Caenorhabditis elegans: one gene and its partner. The protein of the gene in region 1 interacts with the protein of each later gene in a pairwise test. Each region holds a gene or a part of one and is shown on either strand. Other genes may lie near its edges. The genes, in order: uev-2 and brc-1.

Region 1 (10,014 bases):
GTCCTTCTCAATGTACACTAAACATTTCGGACACTGCTTGCTGTTCTCCTCCAGCCATCCACGATTAAGGAATCGTTCCTCCAGAGCCTTCATGTTCTTCTCTCCATACCGTTTATACATTTCTTCTTTTCCTGCTTCATCTGCTTCATTCCATTCTTTCATTATTCTCTCCTCGTCTTCTTTTCTAAATTTACACCTTGAGACTCCATGGAACGTTCCTTTGCACAAATTGCAGAAAGAATAATTGCAATAGGAGCATTCAACAAGGTTGCGTTGGCTGAAAAAATGTTTTTGTGAACTTATCATACGCTCAAAAAAATCAAGTCTTTGAGAGTCATTGTGAGCAGAATTATGGGCACCCAAAGATTTTATACGAGAAATCCAGCGGGCTCAACAAATTTCAACACTCAAATTTCAAACCGACAATCACAGAGCTCCAGACACAAAGTTCAAGAAAAATTCACGAGTTCTGATAGTCTAATAGCAACACAACACATTTTTCTAAATTTTACCTGTCAGTTAGATAAGCCACCATTTGGCAATTTTCATTTGGACATTCCATTGAATCATCCATTTCTCGAATTGCTTTTTCTAGCATATGAGCTTCATACCTTTAAAAATTAATCAAATACTTGTCAATCTCCTAGGAATCTTACTTTGCAAACAGCTCCTCTCCTAGAGCCTCTTGCACCATACCCTGTTGGGCTTCATTTTCACATCCTTCTGCTAGACATGACATTGGTTTCGACTGAAAAATCCAATAAAAATATATCAGCTAAGAAAATTCAAACTAACCACAAACCCCTTGGCAATAGAAATATAATAGTTGAAAGTGCAGGATTTGCAGAAAACATGAGAACATGGCTGGAACTTTATGCAGTGCTGTCCCATTTGGGATTCGAAGCATACCTGGAAATTTTGATGAAAAATTAGAAAAAAAATACAAACGTTACTTGGCAATCGTAGAGGGTATTAACAAACTGTTCTTCAACAGCTTCCTCTTCTTTCTGTAGTATTTTCATTTTCAGAGATTCGATAGTCTCTCCTTGTCTGTTCAGTGCACATGCCTCGTTCAAATTTATAATTTTCGGAGTGTTCTGGGCCATCTGAAATTTGATAGTTGAAAAAGACGCCAGCTGCTTGAATCAAAGAACGTAGCAGTCGACATTCCGCAGAATTAAAAAAGTTAAATTCTGCATGAGATATCTAGATTTAAATTCGCTCAAAGGCATACCCGTGAGATGTCGGTCTTCTAATCAACATCCTACTTCTAATGAATATGTAATTTCTACTATCTGTGTAGACCGTTACATCTCAGAACGCTTTGCAGACGACATATCGCGGGTAGCCCATCTATGTCATTCAATAACGAACCAGCAAAATGTCGGCTGCAGTTAAATTTAGCAGAGGACACCTTACGTGTCTGAGATGTCGGCTCATAATGGTGCTTTTTATTTGATTCTCGCTACTCACCAAATCAATTATTGTCTGGTAGCACATAAAAAGCACCTCCATCATCTGGTTTTCCTCGCAAATCTTTGCCAACTCGGTTTCACAAGATGTCATTTGTTCCTGATTCATCCAATAACTTTCCAGTTCAAGTTTTGGTGATGATACGGTGGGATAATCATTTGGAAGATGGAATTTTAGTCGAATTGGAGGAAGAATGTCAAGAGGAAGATGAAATTGATCGCCGGAGTCAGATGTTCCTTCAATTGTGACTGTTGGATCGTATAAGTTGTCAAATCCGACCTGAAATTGCACTTGACTATTCTAAAACTCATTTAAAAAAACCAACTAACCAACTTTCAACCGTAACTTAGTGACTCTTCTAAAAAATACTTTACTCCATATATGGCCATATTAGTTTATCTCGTACAGGAAAATAGTCAACCGTGGCCAAAATTTCGGGCTAATGATTATGGAGGCTATTGAAATTTTCTATACTTTGTTACCTTAAATATTTTTGATAACTTACATAATTACGTAGAAAGTGTAGCTAAAATATAGTAAGGGTAGTTTCAGATAAATAATTTTTTGTTGTTATTTAGTGGACATTAAATTACTTTTTTAAAAGTTAAAATACCCCAGCTTCTCTCAAAAAACCAAAATCTTTACCTCAATAATTCCCTGGATTTCAGCATTCTTATCACTCCAATCACTGGATTTCGCCAGTTTCTTCTCTCTTAGAACACTTTCCAATGCTTCCAATTCATATATTTGCAGGTCACGATCAGTCATTTTTTATCGATTTTTAGACAAGAGACGCAGAGATTCAATAGACGGAGTTTAGGTAATTTAGAAATGAATGTTCAGGAATTTATAGAAAATATTTTACATTATTAGTCAAAAATGTTCAAACAATATATGAGGAAAGTTTGCGGAACAAAAATCAAAATTAATTACTAAAATATTGCGAAATATTGCAAAATTGTAATGAGTAAAATTGCGCAATGTGATAGATAACCTGTTGTGGAAACGATGAGAAATACAATTTGAAACTTTAAATTTAGAGTATTATCAGTGAGAAATTGTTCAACTTAAATTGTGTTTTTCTCTACGTGATGTGTACTTTAATTGCGTTTCAATTGTTTGTATTTAAACAATCGAAGAGTTCAAATTTGCAGCAATGCTTGAAATTGCCCCCAAAAGTTCAATTTTTCAATTTGCCAAACCTTTCACTAAAATTTTTGAAAAATGTATCTATCCATGTACCTTATTCTTCAGGAATTGATAAAATCTATCGATTCATAAAAAACTAAAGCTATTCCAACAGAATAGAAAAACACAATGTTCAAAAATGAAAGAATATTAAAATCATGTGAAAAGGGAAAACTTCCAGAAAGTCGACTCTTCTCGTTTACTGCGTTTTGTGAATATCTGAAAACTTTGTACGGATTTGTTACCATTTCTTCAATAGGCCGTGTATCATTCTGTCAATTTTTGGTGGATAGGTAAAATGTAACAGCCAATTTGATTTCTGAAAAGTTTTCGAAACATTTTTAAATATATTTAAAACATTTATTTAGGTCATACAAGTCCCGATATTCGAATATGAAACTACATCCAATCACTGAAGTGCACCATTGTCCAGCCTTTCCATTTGTTCTGCAAATTAAAATTTATCTACAAATCTATTCTGGTGATTGCGGCTGGATAAAATTTTAGTCCAACTCCCTGATTACCTCGTATTTTATCTTGAAAATAGTCGTTTTTTTGGACAAAAGGGGCGTGTTGGGGTAATATCTGACATTAATCTGAATGACTCCATACTCGTAGCGAACTCGTTCAATTATTCCGGTCGGATAAGATTCAAAAGATTTGATGATTCCCTGTGCCGCTTCAATCATGCCACTGACAGCTGAAAATAACTAAATTTCAAAATTGTTTCTGATATCGTACTTACGAAGCATATCATCCGGAGCAAAAAGATCCACTACTGCAACTGGGTCCCCTGATTTGATAGCTGCCTGGAACTTTTCGAAGAACTCCTTCGGTACGTTGGCATATTCTTCGGGGACTGGATCCAATGAAAAGACAATAGAAGCACTTGAAAGAGCTAGAAGAAAAATTGGAAGACGCATATTTTGGTTTGGCTACATGGCGAACTGAGCATTTTTATAGTTCGAAATGCTAATTCAATTAGAATGTGAAAATTGTCAATCAATGCGGAGGTTGATGTTTGGTGTCGTATTGATGATCATGATCATTTTGGGCATTTTGAAGACACCACATGGGTTCTGCCGCGTACGGTATCCGGTCTCGTCATGATAAATTTTAGCTGAATGAAAAAGCGTGTGCAGTGTGTGGCAGAGGAGTTGCGTCATTCCACGTTTAAAAGTGTGCCCAACATCAGATATACCTTTAATCCTCCAACCCGTCGGAATCAAGTAGCTCACACACACACACACACATACATAATCTGAGAGCACGTGTAGTTTTTGTTACATGCTCAATTCTAAAACAGAGGGCGCGAGAGAGAAAGAGGCCATCTCTAGGACAACGTACTAATGATAGAGAGACGGCATCCGCTTCTGTGTGATTATGTAGCTCTTTTTCTCTCGTACCTGCCTCTTCTTCAACTTGTGATATTATCCCACGTATTCATACTCTCTTCTTCACTTTTTGTTTGAAGCTTCTGGTTGCCTTAGGCCTCGTGGGATAATATGCAACGTTTTGTGCGCTTTAAGAATATATTCACTGTAGCTTTTTCAAATAAGATCCAGCTTAGGTTCAGTTAACGCGGCTCCGGAAGCTTCGTCACGAATTGGATTACTTTGACTTTCCAGATTAGAGCTTAAGCTTTCAGAAACATGCGAAGACGTAGCAACAGACAATATGTTGATCTCTCATATTTTCGCGAAACTGCCGATGCGCTATTATTCGACGTTGAAACCAATTCACGCGAATTCACCAATGAAATCAACACTGTGAAGGAGGAGAAAGCCAAGTGGGATGAGGTAAGCTTTCACACAAAGTTTAACTCGCCTGCCTACCTGGGACCTAGGCCTGATTTATGCCTACTTCAAAAGTGGGCGTGGCATGTGTCGAAATAACTTTTTTTCAGAGAACACCGCAAGGGTATACGGCAAAGCCAATTAGTTTTGAGGGCGCAGACATATGGTGTTCTTGGATATGTACAGTACCTGGACCGAGAGGAAGCCCCTGGGAGGGAGGGGAATATGAGGTTTAATTACTTTTTAGTTCGCAAAAGTATATTATCTCCAGGTTTCCGTGAACTTTCACAAATGGCCTATAATTCCGCCAATTTGTGAATTCAAAACGCCGCTTCATCATCCGAACGTGGACCTCAGAGGTTGGTTAGAACTGTTTCGAAAAAATATGTTTGAGTGTGAAATACAGAAAACGGTAGCAAAAAGAAACGCATTATTACAAAAATCTTTACAGGATCAATTTATCTTAAAATGCTGGAACAAGAGCACTGGTCTTCTGAAACTTCACTCAAGAAACTTCTGAGGGAAATCAGCAATCTACTTGCAACGCCCGATCTTACTCAAGCTGCAAATATTGAAGCCTGGATGGAATATGAGAATCAGCGGTTAGATATATTTTAACGGCGCACAGCTGCAAATGTGAACAAACTCGGCCACCTATTCTTCTAGGCCACTTCGATTTGGAGCTAAGCGTCGTTGAACAGAGAAAAGAGAACACTTAACTTTTAAAATTATCTTGTTCCAGTGAAAATTACGAGGCTAAAGCTCGAGCTTATGCTTGGACAGTTAACCCGAACGCCGTGGGATACATGGAAGTATCCGAGAATTCCGGAATTCAGAGGGAGACAGCAAAGGCTAAGTTGGCAGTGCAAAATGGTGCCATGGAATCGGACGAGGATGATGACGATCTACCAATTGACATCGAAAACTAATATTACACAAATTTTTATATTTTTGGTATTGGCCAACGTTTTCTGTTGAAGACCTTTTCCACTTTCTCAAAACTTTCTTGCCGACACTCTATGGAATTTTTCAGATTTTTCTCCAAAAAGGTGCCAATTTTCTATACACATTTATTTAAATCCCAATGCCCCTTTTTTGCAGCAAACTTACCTGACCTATGTGATAATTTTTCCCATTTTCCCTACTTTCCCGATCACACCAATTTTTCATTCTCTTTCCAAAACCATGTCTTTTTACGAAAAAAGTGATTATTGTACCAAATAAAGCTATTCCAAACTCGTTGAGTCGGGGTGTCCTCCCATTATCTCTTAATGAAATGGCAGAACAAGAATAAATCTACGTAGTCAACATTTGTAGGCAGGGAGGTATGCTTGACTAAGCTCCAGTCTACTAAGGATTTAAAAAACTCGGCCACCGATTTCTTGTTCTCGGCCACGTTGCAATGAACCGCAATGCCCTTCAAAAAGAGGTGATACTCGTGATTGCACGTCATTACCTCATCCCCAATGTCTATATTTACTTCTCCCGCACACCTTGTCAGATATCTGCACTGTTCATGGTGTGCTCATCGCCTCGCGGAGAGAGCTCTAACCCAAAAGTTTTAAACGTAAAAAGCCGGAAACGGTATAGGTTTATCGGTTCACCGAGAGCGCGCCTAGATCGTGTGGTACCGCCCCTCCTCGCCTCCCGTCAAAGGTCTCTATTTACTCCCAAACAGTGTGCTCTCGGAGCCTCCCGATCCCCCTCGCTGACCATTGTCCACTCCACTCGACCGTGCACAGTTGACTCCTTTTTTTGTACTAGTCGGTTGTTGGAAATGAAACGTATTCTTTTGATTTCTCTATTTTCGGCGGTTGTCAACGGCTTTTACTACAAGAGAACTTTATACGGAGATGCTAATGAGGGAGCTGCCATGCCAGACTATGTTAATGCTTATTATGTGAGTTTTCTTGGCTTGTAGGATTTTTAAGTGGCAGTTTCGGCAGAGATTTCACATCTAAAATATAGTTTTTGAGTTGTTTTGCAACAAGTCAGCCAAAAAATCGGTGGCCGAGTTTTTTGCTTTCCGCGGCCACGTAGCGAAAATCCCAAGGTTAATTATTACAAGGTCACAACCATTTCGGTATGTTGTGTAGATTTTTCTAATTGAAACTAGATCAGAACACAAACGCCTGCTTGCTTGCCTTCATTCACCTACGCTTGTATCAAGATTGTGCACATTGAAAGTAGGCGTGTAGACAGGCACGTAGGTACCAAGGACTGAAGATTTCATGAAAACAACACCAAACACCAGAGTCCAGCAAGAAAAAAAACCAAAAAATAATAGGCAAGCTTTCATGAAAACGAGTCTGCCTACCAAGCCTTATTGAAAATTCTGAACATTCATTTTCCAGGGTTTTCCAACAATCCCAACACAAGAGCCACGTCGGCGACCATCTTTCAACATGAATCCACCACAAGGATATTTTCATCGGGAGCATCCATTTGACTTTGGGCCATTTGGTTATATGAGAGCAAGGTAAGTTCCGGAATAGGTGGCCAAGTTTTATCTCCTCGCGGCCACTTAGTAAAAAACTGACCGTAGCGCCAGATTACAACGATAATCTATTCAAAACTCACTTTAGACGGTACCTTAGCAACAAATAATCTTGATTTTCCTTCAGAATTGGAGAAGCCAACTTCGGTGAGCCCATGGAGAAAACTGACCGCGAGCGAGCTATGGAACGGGCCAAACCGGGATTTTGGCGTCAAAACCAACGCGAAACCATGGATCGGATCAAGAAAATTATTGGAGAGCAGAGAATGAATATGGAGCAGAAGCAAATGCATATTCGAAGAGTTCTAGCAAATGAGAGTGATGAGATAAGGGTAAGAAGATAAATAATTTTTTCTCAACAAACACAAACATTTTTCAGTCCAAATTCGCTGATATTCACAAAAGACTGATCATGAAAAACAACAAGATGACCGTCTCCTCTCCAGTTCCAGAGCTTAGCAAACAGGCGAAGAAGCTTGAGAAAGAGGCCAAGAAAATTATGGAAAACAAGAAAATGAGTGTAGAGAAGAAGCAGGAGAAACTTGACAAACTTATGCTTAAGGCTCCAGAGAACGTTAAGAATGAGCTCAATGCTATGAACGATTCGGGGTGAGCATTGAGTTTTTCATGGTAGGCAAGACGCGCATGTAGGCAGGCGCAGGTTGCATGGGAGGCAGGAAGCAGGCGTTACATGGTATTCCTAAAAAGATTCCAATCCGTGTAACACTCTCGGAGAATTCAATCATATCAAAATTGATTGATGCTTAGTCGATTTTTGTGTTTCTCCTCTATTGCTCTCTTCGAAAAATCTCAAATCTTTCAGATCAACACCTGCCCCAATTCAAGCTCCATTCCCAGCTCCAGGACAAACCGAGGCTCTTAATCGGGCAAACCCATCAATGGCTTCTCAAGTTGAAGTAATGACTCGTAATGCACCAACTCAAGCAGTGGTTGAAGCTCGTCAAATCCGAGTTTCCGAAGATGGAAAAACTGTGGAAATTTAAATAATCTGTGCTCTATGAGCAATTCTTCTTTTTGTGTATTTTACGTCTAATTTTCTCAACTGCCCAACGTCTTTCCCTTGTGCTCCATCCCCAGAAACGACGAGCTATCTGACTGTATATACAAGTGATTTCAGCTCGGCGTTTGCTCACCTGCTCAGTTCGCCTTCTGTAAATATAACCTTAATCCATTCAAAATCGTTGTTATCAATCTCAGCATATCAATTGTTTATCAGTGTTATTTAAATAATAAATATATGGGATTTTCTGCGCTAATATATTAGAAAACTCGTATCTTTCCAATAAAAAGTGGAATTTGAACATCCACGCTTTGTTTCTGTCAGATGGAGCGCGTTTGGTGCATGTTTTTTCAGCGGTTTTTTTGCCCTTTTAAAAAAGTCTAGATTTCTAAACATTTTGAACGCGATACCAGTTTTTCTTGTTCTAGTTTGTGTTAAAATAATTTCTACTAAATTTCAGATGTCAGACGACAGCCGTGAAACTCAGTTATTCGAGCTAGAAGCACTGGAGAGTGTGCTAAGGGAGAATAAATTGACGAGAATCAGTGATTGGGCGGATAAAAATGCAGAAATTCGGGGAATAATTGAAGTAGAATATTGAGCGTATAAAGAAGTTTATTATTAAATTTTTTCTTGATTTCAGGTAGGATTTGACACATTATCCGATCCAAAAGTCACAATTGAAGGAACGTCTGACTCCAGCGATCATTTTTCCATCCCCCTAGACATTCTTCCACCAATCCGATTGAAATTTCATCTTCCAAATGATTATCCCTCAGTATCATCACCAAAACTTGAACTGGAAAGTTATTGGATGAATCAGGAACAAATGACATCTTGTGAAACCGAGTTGGCAAGGATTTGCGAGGAAAACCAGATGATGGAGGTGCTTTTTATGTGCTATCAAACGATAATTGATTCGGTTAGTTTTTTGTTCTTTTTAACAAATTAAATATATAAAAATAAGTTTCAGATAGACCAATCTCACCTAAAAATCATCAATCTGAACGAGGCGTGTGCGCTGAAAAACAATGGAGAAACTATTGAATCGCTGAAAAAGAAAATTCTTGGAAAAGGCGAAGAAGCTGCTGAAGAGCACTTTGTCAATACACTTTTCGATTGTGAAGTAATTTTTTCGTAGTTATAAAATTATACTATTTTTTCAATCTTCCAGGTATGCTACGACTCTCAAATGGGCCAACATTGCATCAAATTCCAGCCGTGCTCTCACGTTTTCTGCAAACAATGTACTTTCGATTATTATCGTACAATATCGAAAGGTGTTGTGGTAAGATCCAATCGATTTTTTTTTTGGAAAAATTGGATCATTTACAGTCAAAAGCCATGCAGTGTCTAGCAGAAGGATGCAAGAGTGAAGCACAACAAAATACGGTTAAGGAGGCACTCGGAGATGATTTATATGCAAAGTGAGATACATTTCCAAAAAAAAAAATCCAAATTTGAATTTCCGCCAGATACGAGACGATTATGCTGGAGAAGGCGATTCGAGAGATGGAAGACACCGTGGAGTGTCCCAGAGAGAATTGTCAAAAAGTCGCCTACGTCACGGATAGGTATAGTTTAAAATATAAAAATAAATGTAAAAAAGAAGAACATTTCAGACAACGCTTCCTGGCCGAATGCTCCTACTGTAACTTTTCGTTCTGCAATCTGTGTAAGCAGACATTCCACGGAATAGAACGCTGCAAATGGAAGAAAGGAGACAAAGAGCTTCTTGTCAAAAGATGGAAGGATGGAGATGAAGCTGAGAAGGCTGAAATGTGCAGGCAATTTGGAGGAGAGAAGCGTGTCGAGGAGCTTGTGGAGCGGTTCCTCAATGAGGAATGGCTGGATTCGAACAGCAAACCGTGTCCCAAGTGCTCGGTGAGCATAGAGAAGAATGAAGGATGCCACAAGATGCACTGTACGAAGTGTGACACCTACTTCTGTTGGTTGTGCTCTGAAACTCTTGACAAGGAAGATCCTTATAAGCATTTTCAGGGAGATGTTGGTTTTTTCTTAGAATTGTGTAAGAAATG
Region 2 (11,184 bases), 1.7 Mb from region 1:
TAATCAAGAAAATCGATTTGCTTTGTTCAAACGGCCTATCAAAACAACACACTTTATGCTTAAAATAATTCATTTTCCTGTAATTTTGCAATGCAAGTTAAATCAAATATTATTTTGTATTGAACTTTCGTGGTTTTTATCATAATTCATAAAAATTGAGCTAAACATCAGATTCACTGGGCATATGAAATGCATTTCTCCATGTAAGTATTTAATCTTCTTCTTGTAATTTCATGTTTCGTGTTTTAATTATCCGAATAAGCCAAAATTGTTATCTGAAAATCTGAAATTGAGTTAAAACAATTAATCAGTTCTGAATCATTTACTTGTTTTCTAATTTCGAATTCAGGGTTCAATAAATTACTGGGGGAAATTACAACACTGGAATTTAATTCTACACAGGAGTCAATCAGGGAATGCATCTTGATTACAAAGAAGGTCATGTTGGGGTTAAAAGTTTAGATCTTGCATTGATTCTGCAGAAATTACAACGATAGAGGGGGAAAAGAGAAGTAATACAGAAAAAGTAACATTAATAGTAAGAATTGAATTGATTTACAATTGTTCAAGTTCGTTTATGCACGTGCAGAACGTCCAGAGATTAGTTGTTTGATGACAGATTCGTCGACTAGAGTAGTAGTATCACCGATTCCACTTTCGGATCCTTCAGCAATCTTTCTCAAGATTCTTCTGGTAACCTTGCCGGAACGAGTTTTTGGAAGTCCTGGAGCTTCTTGGATAACATCTGGAACAGCCAATGCACCAATTTTCTCGCGAACTAGTTTCTTGAGCTCAGCCACAAGCTTTTCATTGATTCTCTCTCCAACATTCAAAGTGACGAATGCGTATGGGAAGGATCCCTTGATGTCATGTGGAGCAGCAACAACGGCAGCTTCAGCAACTTTCTCATGAGCCACAAGAGCTGATTCAATTTCAGCAGTAGACAGAAGATGACCACTGACATTCATCAAATCATCAACACGTCCAGTTATCCACAAGTATCCATCTTCATCACGTCTGGCACCATCTCCAGTGAAATAGTATCCATTGAATGGAGCCAAATAGGTCTTGACAAAGCGTTGCTCATCTCCATAGATTCCACGCATCATTCCAGGCCAGGCACGATCAAAGCATAGTGATCCTTCTCCCGGACCTTCAATAACACGACCTTCAGCATCCAAAAGAACTGGAGATGCTCCGAAGAATGGCATTGCAGCTGCTCCTGGCTTCATTGGAGTTGCTCCTGGAAGGCATGTGATCATGTGTCCTCCAGTTTCAGTTTGCCAGTAAGTATCCACAATGGATACATTGGAAAGTCCAACTTGCTTGTACAACCACATCCATGCAGCAGGATTGATGGGCTCTCCAACTGTTCCGATAACCTTGAGAGTTTTGCGAGAAGAGCTGAAAATTAAAAATAAAGATGCTGAACAATTATTTTTGAATAATTATTACCTTTCAAGCCACTGATTTCCGAGAGCCATAAGAGCTCTTGCGGCTGTTGGTGAGGTATACAGCTTGGTCACACCATACTTATCAGTGACATCCCACATTCTAGAAGGAGTCGGATAAGTCGGCACACCTTCATACCAAATTCCCTTGAGCCCATTCATCAAAGGTCCATAAAGAAGGTACGAGTGTCCGGTGATCCATCCACAATCGGCAGTACACCAGTAAACATCGTCTTCTTGTGCATCAAAAGTGTATTTTGTGGTTGCGTAGGCGTACGTCATGTATCCAGCTGTAGTGTGTTGAATACCTTTCGGTTTTCCGGTTGAGCCACTGAAAATTAACAATTTGAATTAAATGAGAAATAAGTAAATTCTAATTCTGAACTAACGATGTGTAGAGAATAAATAGCGGATCTTCAGAATCCATCCATTCTACCGGGGAATCCACGCCTGCACACTTGAGCATCTCCGAATCGTAGATGACGGTGATATCGGTGTAATCGACCTGAAAAATGTTTTTTGTTGTAATTTTAAATGAAAAATCAATAAAACTTAATTTTTTTCTGGTTTTTCTGAATTTGAGACTACTTTGAGCATTTTAGAGCATTAAATTTATTATATTTAGTTACCTTGGGAAGTTCCACTCCATCAGGCTTCGTGACTCGTTTTAAGTGTTCCACCATAATGATAGCTTCCACTTTGACATCTTCCTGCGATGCGAGAACGGCAGCTGCATCCGCAATTGACTTGAGCCCAATTGGTTTAGCTCCTCGAAAAACTCCGTCCGCCGTAACCAAAACTCTGCAGCGAGCGTCGACAACACGAGCGGCAAGTGATTCGGCAGAGAAACCAGCGAAAACAACAGAATGCATTGCTCCGATACGGGCACACGCAAGCATTGCAACTGCTAATTCGGGAATCATTGGAAGATATAAAGCAACCACATCGCCTCGTTTGACGCCATGAGATCTCAGAACAGCGGAGAATTGGACTACTTGGGCGTGTAGCTCGTTGTATGTCCAGGTGGAGGTGTCGGTTGGCTCGTTTCCTTCGAAAATGTAGGCGATTTTGTTTCCATATCCACGTTTAATGTTTCTTTCCAAACAGTTGTACGAGATGTTAGTCTTGGCTCCATCCATAAACTTGACGAAGACATTTCCAGCTTTCGAGTCGAAATTCCATTCGAGACCCTTAGAGGTTCCTTGTTCGAAATGGAGTTCAGATGAGACGGTACGCCAGAACTCGTCAGCATCGTTGATCGAGGAACGGTACAAATCGTGGTAAGATTGAAGGCCAGCACAGTGAGCACCGGCAAGGAGTGGGGCTGGAGGGAGGAAAATCTGAAATCTATTGGTTTTAAAAGTATTCTTTCGAAGAAATAAATTCTTACATCCTCGTCGAGACCTTCTCCATCGTTGGCTAGGTTGAACTTGACGCGAACGTCCGACATGATGAGATGCAATAACCTGAAAATGAGGCACTTTATGATAAGAAAATGCGGTAAAACATGCGAAATATGGCACCATAAACCGTGAGCAGGACAAAGAACAAACACTTGGAAAAGAAAAGAAAATAGAAAGAAAAAAAGGAAAACTGGAGAAAACAAACTCAATAACACAACGCGAGAAATACAATTTCGTTTCGTTTTTTCTTCTATTTATTAGATTTCTCACAATTTGTTACCAGTAAAGTCACGTTCTATATTTCAAACTACTCCTAAAATTCGGTTTGAACAGTTCTCTGATAAACGAATTTCGAAGAACGATCAGAAAACAAATCTACGGTTGTGTGTGATCAATGGGGTCAAACGGTGGACGAAAGGGGACGGCGGAGAGAGGAAAAAGTGAGAGAAAATAAATAAAATTGACCTTCGAGTGCAGAGTTTTGCTGGTATTTTGGTCAGAATTGATTATGAAAATCTGAAAATTACCGCCGGGAAAGTTGAAAATTTGACGTGGAAACGTTTAAAAAAATAAGATGAGAAAGTTAGTACTGTAGATGTCGTCGGATCAAGTGCACAGTACGCAAGCACCGTTACGAAAAATTGCACTAATTGCTCAATTAAATTTTTTTAAAAAATTAATTTTTATAGTGTGTTTTGTGTTTTTTTTCTGCTTTTTTAATGATTTTTAAAGGCTTGATTATGTTTTTTTCTCAAAATTTGAATAATCAATAACATTAATTAATTACTTTATTAAAAAACCACATTTGGCATTTTAATAAAGCAAGTTATCGCGACAAACGGCAAAAATGTCTCTTTTTATAAAAATTGTTTTTTTTTGAGTTAAGAGAAGATGTGGAGTTTTTTGAACTACATTAGTTTTCTAAAAATTTTATCATCTAGATTTTGAGGAAAAAAGCAGATTATATATCTTTAATCTTGGTTTTAAAATTTTTTTAAAAAGCAGAATATTAAAGTAAAATATTATAAAAAGAAAAATTCGTGTTTGCAAAATTTGTTTGAACGGAACCTTGCAAAAATGATATTTAGCAGCTAAACTAACTGAAAACTACTGCATAAAGCTTTCCCAAAAAGAGCTACCATCCAGAAAATGTTTTTTTTTTCAAAGCCGAAAAAGAAGAAAAAAAGATAGAAAACCGAAAAAGCAGCATCGTTTTCGCGCACTCTTTCTTCTTTTTTTCTTTCTTTTTCTAAAAAAAAATATTCTCCGTAGCTTGAAGTCTCAGGATTTCCAAAGGGAATTTCCTTGATAGAATATGGAAAAACAAGAGAGTCATCAGAGAAGGGAGAGGAAAAGCGGGGATGCTGGCGAAGACCGGGGGCACCGACTGAAATATAGGCACCGGCGGGGAGGCGGGGCGCTCTCTCCTCTCCGCTTTACTCCGCCCCGATTGTCAGTGGAGCAGGTTTGCAATGAGTGTTCTCTGATGCCCCCTCAGCGCGGGAGTTTTGAAATCAAATATTTTGTATTTTAACCTACTTTATTGATTTTTCAATTAAAATGAAATGTTATTTGTTTAAAATTTAATTTCAGATGGCAGATGTTGCACTGAGGATCACAGAAACAGTGGCACGACTGCAAAAAGAACTGAAATGTGGAATTTGGTAATTTATTTTCAAAAAATCAACAAAAAAACCTTAAATTGGTTTTTTTTCAGCTGTTCAACATACAAAGATCCAATTCTGTCCACATGTTTCCATATTTTCTGTCGTTCTTGCATTAACGCTTGCTTCGAACGAAAACGAAAAGTTCAATGCCCAATTTGTAGAAGTGTACTGGATAAGCGAAGTTGTCGAGATACTTATCAAATTACAATGGCTGTGCAGAACTATTTAAAGCTATCAGAAGCATTTAAAAAAGATATTGAGAATATGAATACGTTCAAGTCACTGCCGCCAGAGAAAATGTTCATGGAAAGTCAAATGCCGCTGGATATCACGATTATTCCAGAGAATGATGGAAAACGATGCGCTCCAGATTTTGCTATACCTTTTTTGCCAGTGGTATGCTTTTTGGCACAAAAAACCAATTAAAACCAAAAGAAAATCACTAAAAATATTTCTAAAATGTCAAATAAAAACATTTTTCACCTTTTTTTGTGTCGTATAGCGATTAAATCAATTTTTAATAATTTTATTACACACTTTTTTCATCGATTTGCTAATTTCTGACTGAAAATCATAGCGGACTGCGAAAAAATTTCGTCAAAAACACGAAAAAAGCAGAAAAGAAATATTTTTTACTTTTTTTTTGTTTGGAAAACTGGACTCTATAGTTACATTTTCTAGTGTATTTTTTTGGGAAAAAAAATTAAAAATGCAATACAAATTGCTAATTAGCTAAATAGTTGAAAAATTTTGAGTTTTTGCATAATTTAGTCCGTTTTTCGAAGTTATCATTAAAAAATTCGGCCTTTTTGGGCTATTTTGACTCTATTAACATTAAATCTGTATTTTCAGCGCCGAAAGCGACCGAGTCGACCACAACCGCCGAGCGCATTCGCCGAGGAGCCTGCAGAACCGGTAGAACCGCCAGAACCAGCCACAAAACAACCTGTAGAGCTCCAAAGTCGAGTATTCCCGCTGGAAAAATTGAAAAAAGACGTGGAAACCTCTACAGAAACGTATAAAATATCAAGAGAAGAACTGAAAAATGTTGATATTGAAGAATACATAAATACCCTCCGAGGTTGGTCAAAAATCAAAAAAAAATTCGCTAATTTTTGCCAATTTTCCAGAAAATTCGACAGAGATTGATGAAATCGATGCACTTTTCCAATTAATGCCGACGATGCGACAATTTCTTCGAAATGTTTGTGATGATTCGGGCTTATTTAGAGGAAAATAATTTTTGAAATAAAATATTTTTTGCAGAATATCAATCAGCTAATGGAGAAATTCCATGTGGCGCCACCGAAAAAATCAGAGAAACCAGCGAATCGAAGAGTATCCTTTGCGAGTTCTCAAGATCTTGAAAACATAAAAATTATGACAGCTTCTGAATCGCTGGAAACTCCTCCTGAGCCAATCCAAAAACTAGCCCAAAAGCCTGAAGTTTTCAAAAGTACTCAAAATTTGATCGATTTGAATCTAAATACTGCAGTGAAAAAGCCAGTGGTCGTAGCATCAGATGATGATGAAGTTGTAGAAGATTCTGAAGGAGAACTACAAATTGATGAAGATGATCTGGCAAATGTTACCTGTGCTACAAGTGTAAGAAATATAGGAAAATCATTGTGTGCAGAATATATCAGGGGTGTGCGGCAAATTTGCCGAATTTGTCGTTTGCCGAGCTCGGCAAATTTCAAAAAAGTTGATTTGCCGAATTTGCCGAGCTCGGCAAATTTCGAAATTTGCCGCACACGTCAAAAATTTGACAGTACAATTTCGACTAAAACTACTGATTTTTTCGCCAAAAATTCAGTAAAATGACACAAAATTGAGTTATTTTGATGCTTAAGCAGACATACTACACGGAACTGATTCCGAAGCCAGATGTGTGTTAAGAATTCGGTAGTTTTGGTGGTCCAAAAACATCAAAAAATATCAAAAATTTCCGAGTTTGTTAAGCACGGCAAATTTGCCGAATTTGCCGAATTAGCCGAGCTCGGCAAATTTGCCGAATTTGCCGTGCTCGGCAAATATTGAACAAAGAGATTTGCCGAATTTGCCGAGCTCGGCAAATTTTGCGATTTGCCGCACACCCCTGGAATATATGGTTTTCAACAGAAAAATTCAATTTTAATTTTAAAAAAAGTTGAATTGTTTTATAAAAAAGTGCTGAACCCGAAAAAAAAACATAATTTTGAGAAAATGCAAATATTTTTTCATTCAAAATTTCCATTTTTGTTATAATTTCGAGCATAACTTTAAAGAAAAAATTTGAAAATAAATTTTTAAGCAATTTTTTTTTAAATATCAGGTTGTCCCATAAGTTTTTGTACTTTTTTTCAAATATTTTTCCAAAACTTCTAGAAAGTTTTAAAATTTTTTCATCGTAGGTCGTGTCAAGGTCGGGTCGTCCCCTTTCAGAAAAGATTCATTTCATCCATTTCTACTTTGCCACGATGACAATCATCAAACTTGAACGTCGAGACGTTAGATTGCTTCTTCTTTATGAATTTCGTCTTGGTCATTCAGCAATGGAAGCGGAACGAAACATATGCGGTGCGATGGGTGAGGGAGCACTCTCTTATAATACAGCAAAGAGTTGGTTTCAAAAGTTCAAGAACGGCGACTTCAGTCTCGAAGAAATAGAACGTTCTGGGCGACCGGTAGAGTTAAATGAAGAAGACCTAGTGAAGCTGGTGGAGGAAGAGCCTCGTCTTAGTCTTCGTGAAATGGAAGAGAAGCTTGAGTGTTGTCATAGCACAATTGCACGTCACTTGGGTCGCCTTGGTTTTACTTCAAAACTTGGAATTTGGGTGCCTCATGAACTTTCGGCATCACAGAAGCTCACTCGGGTCAACGTTTGTACTCAACTTCTAACTTTTCGTCGAAAGTTCGATTGGCTGAACAATCTGGTTACTGGAGATGAGAAGTGGGTGCTCTATGTTAACCATTCCAGAAAACGTCAATGGCTTCCGATCGGTGAGAAAGGAATACCGACGCCAAAGCCTGATCTTCACCCAAAAAAGATTATGATCTGTGTCTGGTGGGGTGTTCAAGGACCCGTGCACTGGGAATTGTTGCCAACTAATAAAACTATCACTGCTGATTACTATTGTGCCCAATTGGACCGAGTTGCAGAAAAGACCAACGGAAAATATGAAAAACTATATTTTCTTCACGATAATGCTAGGCCTCATGTCGCCAAGAAGACTTTCCAAAAGCTGCAAGATCTTGGTTGGACTGTTTTACCGCATCCACCATATTCTCCAGATCTTGCACCAACCGACTACCATTTGTTCTTGTCTCTCAGTGACTACATGCGCGACAAGCAATTCGACGACGAAGAGCATCTCAAAACTGAACTCTCCACTTTCTTCTCATCGCGTTCGCCGGATTTCTTCTCCCGTGGCATCATGATGTTACCTAGTAAATGGCAACAAGTGGTGGACACTAATGGTGAATACTTGTGTGAATAGTACTACTTGTCGCTTGAGAGAAATAAATTTTTTTCAAAAAAAAAATAGTACAAAAACTTATGGGACAACCTGATAGAAAAATCGAAATATTATTGGAGATATCGGAAAAACTAAAAATAATAATTAAAACAAAAACAAAAATATTCCAATTTTGAAAAAAAGCCAAATAAAAATTATTTTTCAGTCAACTACCCTTGACGCCGACCGTACACCGAAAGCAATTCAAGATGACGAAGATCGAATCGACGATGAGTTGTCACAAGTACCAAAAACAATTGTTTGCTCGAGAATTCATAATGATGCGGACGAAGTAGTGGGACTGGTGGATGTTTGAAATTCAAACATTTTCTTATTTTTCAGGAACTTCTCAGCGATTTCTATCACAAATTCTTGTCAAATGCGTGCCGATTTGCGGAGGATGTGAATGAGCACACGACTCATTTGGTGATGATGAATAGTGGTTCGTTAAAACTGTGAAATTTGGAGGAAGACTTTTTTCTTAGAGATATTGTTCTCAAAAATAATCTGTGAAAAAAATTTAAAAAAAACCATGATTTTACCAAATTTTTGCAAACGGCAGAATAAAAAATCGAACCATTTTGCAGAAAAATGGTTTTTTTAACGCTTTTTAAAAAATCCAAAAATTGAGAATTTTAGATTTTTAAAATGATGCAATTTTTTGGTTTTTTTCCCAGATATATTCGAAAAACCGAAAATTAAATTTACAAAAAAGAGAAACAACGGTTTCATAAAATTTTGTACATTTTCTTCCAAAAATTAAAAAAAATTGCCAAAATTTTAAGCTATTAAAAAAATCTAAGTGTGCTCAAAATATCGGAAATTCGAAAAAACAAAATTCTCGTTTTTCGATTTTCCGCGCGAAATTTTAAAATAAGTTGGATTTTTTCATCGAGAAAAACCTATTTAAAACCGATTTTTAGTTCAAAATAATTTTTAACTAATTTTCAGAAGGCCGTTCAATTTCTCAAAAATCCACAGCATATCTCTATGCAATTGCTCGAAAATGCGTTATTGTAGGACGTCAATGGCTTGTAGATTGTATAACAACGGGTCTTTTACTGTCTGAGGTAATATTTTAATTTTTGTGTTTCATTTTAATTTCCGCTTTAAAAAAATGTTCCGATGAGATGGTCTGATACAAAAAGTGGTGAATTCTGTTGATAAATGTGTGCGATCTCTGGTCGAATTCTTTCAAAATTCACATGAAAATGAGTTTATCAGAGCAGAGTACACACACACCCAACATGCTTGTGATTTTGAAAATTATCGGAATTAATGTTCATTGAAATTGTTTATTTATTTTGGGTGTTTTTTGAGATTGTGCATAATTCGAAAAACGATCAGATTTAAAATGAAATTGAAAGGTTTTAATATGGGGTGAGCAGGGACAAAATATGGAAAATGTTGGAAATATGGGGTGAGCACGGGGGAATTACACTGCAACTTTTTTCGAACGAGGGACGAGGCAAAAAGGTTTCTAGGCCATGGCCGAGTCCCCGACAAGTTTCAGCGGCCATTTATGTTGCTTTGTTTTCCGCGTGTTTTCTTTCGTTTTTCACCAATTTTCCCCATTTTTTCTTATTAATACTAATAAATAAATATTTTTTGCAGATGCTAAAACAATTTCCAAGTGAAAAAATTGTGTATTGAGTCTGTAAGTAGCGGTGAAAGTGGTCAATGCAATATGATGGATTACGGGAATAAAAAACCCAAACTTTTTCCCACACATGCTGCTCTGATGCTGAAACTACCTGATTTTCATAACGAGATCACTGAAAAAGTTTTGAGGTTTTCAAAATTCAACTTTTTTGGTGAAAAAGTAGAGATTTTCGCATAAAAAGTTGAATTTTGAAAACCTCAAAACTTTTTCAGCGGTCTCGTTATGAAAATCAGGTACTTTTAGCATCTAAACATCTATGTATCATGTTTGGGGAAAAGTTTGGGTTTTGTATTCCCGTAATCCATCATATTACATTGACCACTTTCACCACTACTTGCCGACTGAATACATATTTTTTTCATCTGGAAATTATTTTAGCATTAGGAAAAAATATTTATTTATCAGTTTTAATAAGAAAACACGGGAAAAATTGGTGAAAAACAAGAGAAAACAAACACGGGGAGGCAAAGCTAACGTGGCTGAAGAAATTTCTACAGTAGTCCCATTTGGCTGACTGAATATTCAACGCGAATAAGTTTTGTACACTATTGCGTACTTTGCGTACGCGCATTTTATTTGACGACAATTCGTCAATATCAGCTCTGGCTAAAAGCGCTTTTCTCATTATTTAAGCGAATAAAAGTCGAAAAAAAATGTTTTGTGATACAGAATAGTAATTTAAAAAATAAAAAGTGCATATTTTATGTTTCTCATTATGTTTCCACTGATTTTCTGAGAAAAACCGAAAATTTCCTCTTTTTTCGATGAATTTTAGCTGAATAGTTTGTTTTTATCTAGTTTTTCTTCCGATTGACTGAATAACACATTTAATAACATCAATATAACGTTTAAAACATTCATTGTCTCGAAAACCAATATAAAACTCGTCAGAGAGGGATACTAAGTAAATATGCTGAACAAGGAAATGAGAGAGAAGAACATTAACCGAATGGGGAGGGGTGAATAAAAATCTGAACAGGAACGGAATATAAAAAACATTATTAGAAAGAACAAGCATGGCTTGATCTTCTTGGCAGTCGTCTCCTTATCCTATCACTTCTTCTCGGCGTCCTTCTGATCATGCTACCGAGCAACGTGGCACGATCGAAGAGTTTCACAACGGTTTGATACTTTCGATTCACGAGTCGGGCTCCCAATTCAGCGAGGGTCCTCTCACGAAGCGTGTCGCATTTTTAGGAAATTTAGAAATTTTTAATTTTTAAAAATTAAAAAATAAGTAACACCTCAAGAATTCCATCGAAGTTTTGCTCCTTTGCAATAAGACGAACTTTTTTTTACGGAATTGAACAGGATCATTGAGGTACGGCATGAAAACGGCTTCCTCGTTGAACGATGTTGAAGCTCCTTCACCATTGCACCTGAAAATCAACTTCTAAATTTTCAAATTTAAAGAAAATTCACATACTTATCCTCGGAAACGAATCCAATATTCTGGTTGCTGAGTGGAATTGCTTCAAAGATTTTGATCAGATTTTTTTGAAA

The links.
Region 2: the proteins of uev-2 (region 1) and brc-1 interact in a two-hybrid assay, tested with the Caenorhabditis elegans proteins (one study listed by BioGRID).

The regions. Positions count from the first base shown.
Region 1 is NC_003281.10:5,578,828-5,588,841, forward strand, and holds uev-2 (UBC core domain-containing protein), read left to right. Parts: upstream 1-4,297; 5' UTR 4,298-4,313; coding exon 4,314-4,460; intron 4,461-4,567; coding exon 4,568-4,687; intron 4,688-4,728; coding exon 4,729-4,816; intron 4,817-4,908; coding exon 4,909-5,059; intron 5,060-5,199; coding exon 5,200-5,386; 3' UTR 5,387-5,695; downstream 5,696-10,014. Other genes in the region: F56D2.5 (RBR-type E3 ubiquitin transferase), read right to left, coding at 1-277, 513-611, 657-748, 796-909, 954-1,106, 1,474-1,752, 2,119-2,241; F56D2.8 (DUF4440 domain-containing protein), read right to left, coding at 3,061-3,108, 3,186-3,361, 3,407-3,584; F56D2.3 (DUF148 domain-containing protein), read left to right, coding at 6,235-6,357, 6,812-6,936, 7,082-7,286, 7,334-7,563, 7,778-7,958; F56D2.2 (RBR-type E3 ubiquitin transferase), read left to right, coding at 8,436-8,564, 8,619-8,897, 8,949-9,101, 9,150-9,263, 9,311-9,402, 9,451-9,549, 9,598-9,982.
Region 2 is NC_003281.10:3,856,222-3,867,405, reverse strand, and holds the start of brc-1 (Breast cancer type 1 susceptibility protein homolog), read left to right. Parts: upstream 1-4,447; coding exon 4,448-4,518; intron 4,519-4,571; coding exon 4,572-4,917; intron 4,918-5,373; coding exon 5,374-5,602; intron 5,603-5,651; coding exon 5,652-5,725; intron 5,726-5,787; coding exon 5,788-6,126; intron 6,127-8,184; coding exon 8,185-8,313; intron 8,314-8,360; coding exon 8,361-8,460; intron 8,461-8,969; coding exon 8,970-9,088; intron 9,089-10,474; coding exon of another isoform or gene 10,475-11,060; intron 11,061-11,107; coding exon of another isoform or gene 11,108-11,184. Other genes in the region: acs-19 (Acetyl-coenzyme A synthetase), read right to left, coding at 576-1,404, 1,456-1,782, 1,841-1,956, 2,081-2,791, 2,842-2,901. UniProt on the Caenorhabditis elegans protein: E3 ubiquitin-protein ligase that specifically mediates the formation of polyubiquitin chains and plays a central role in DNA repair.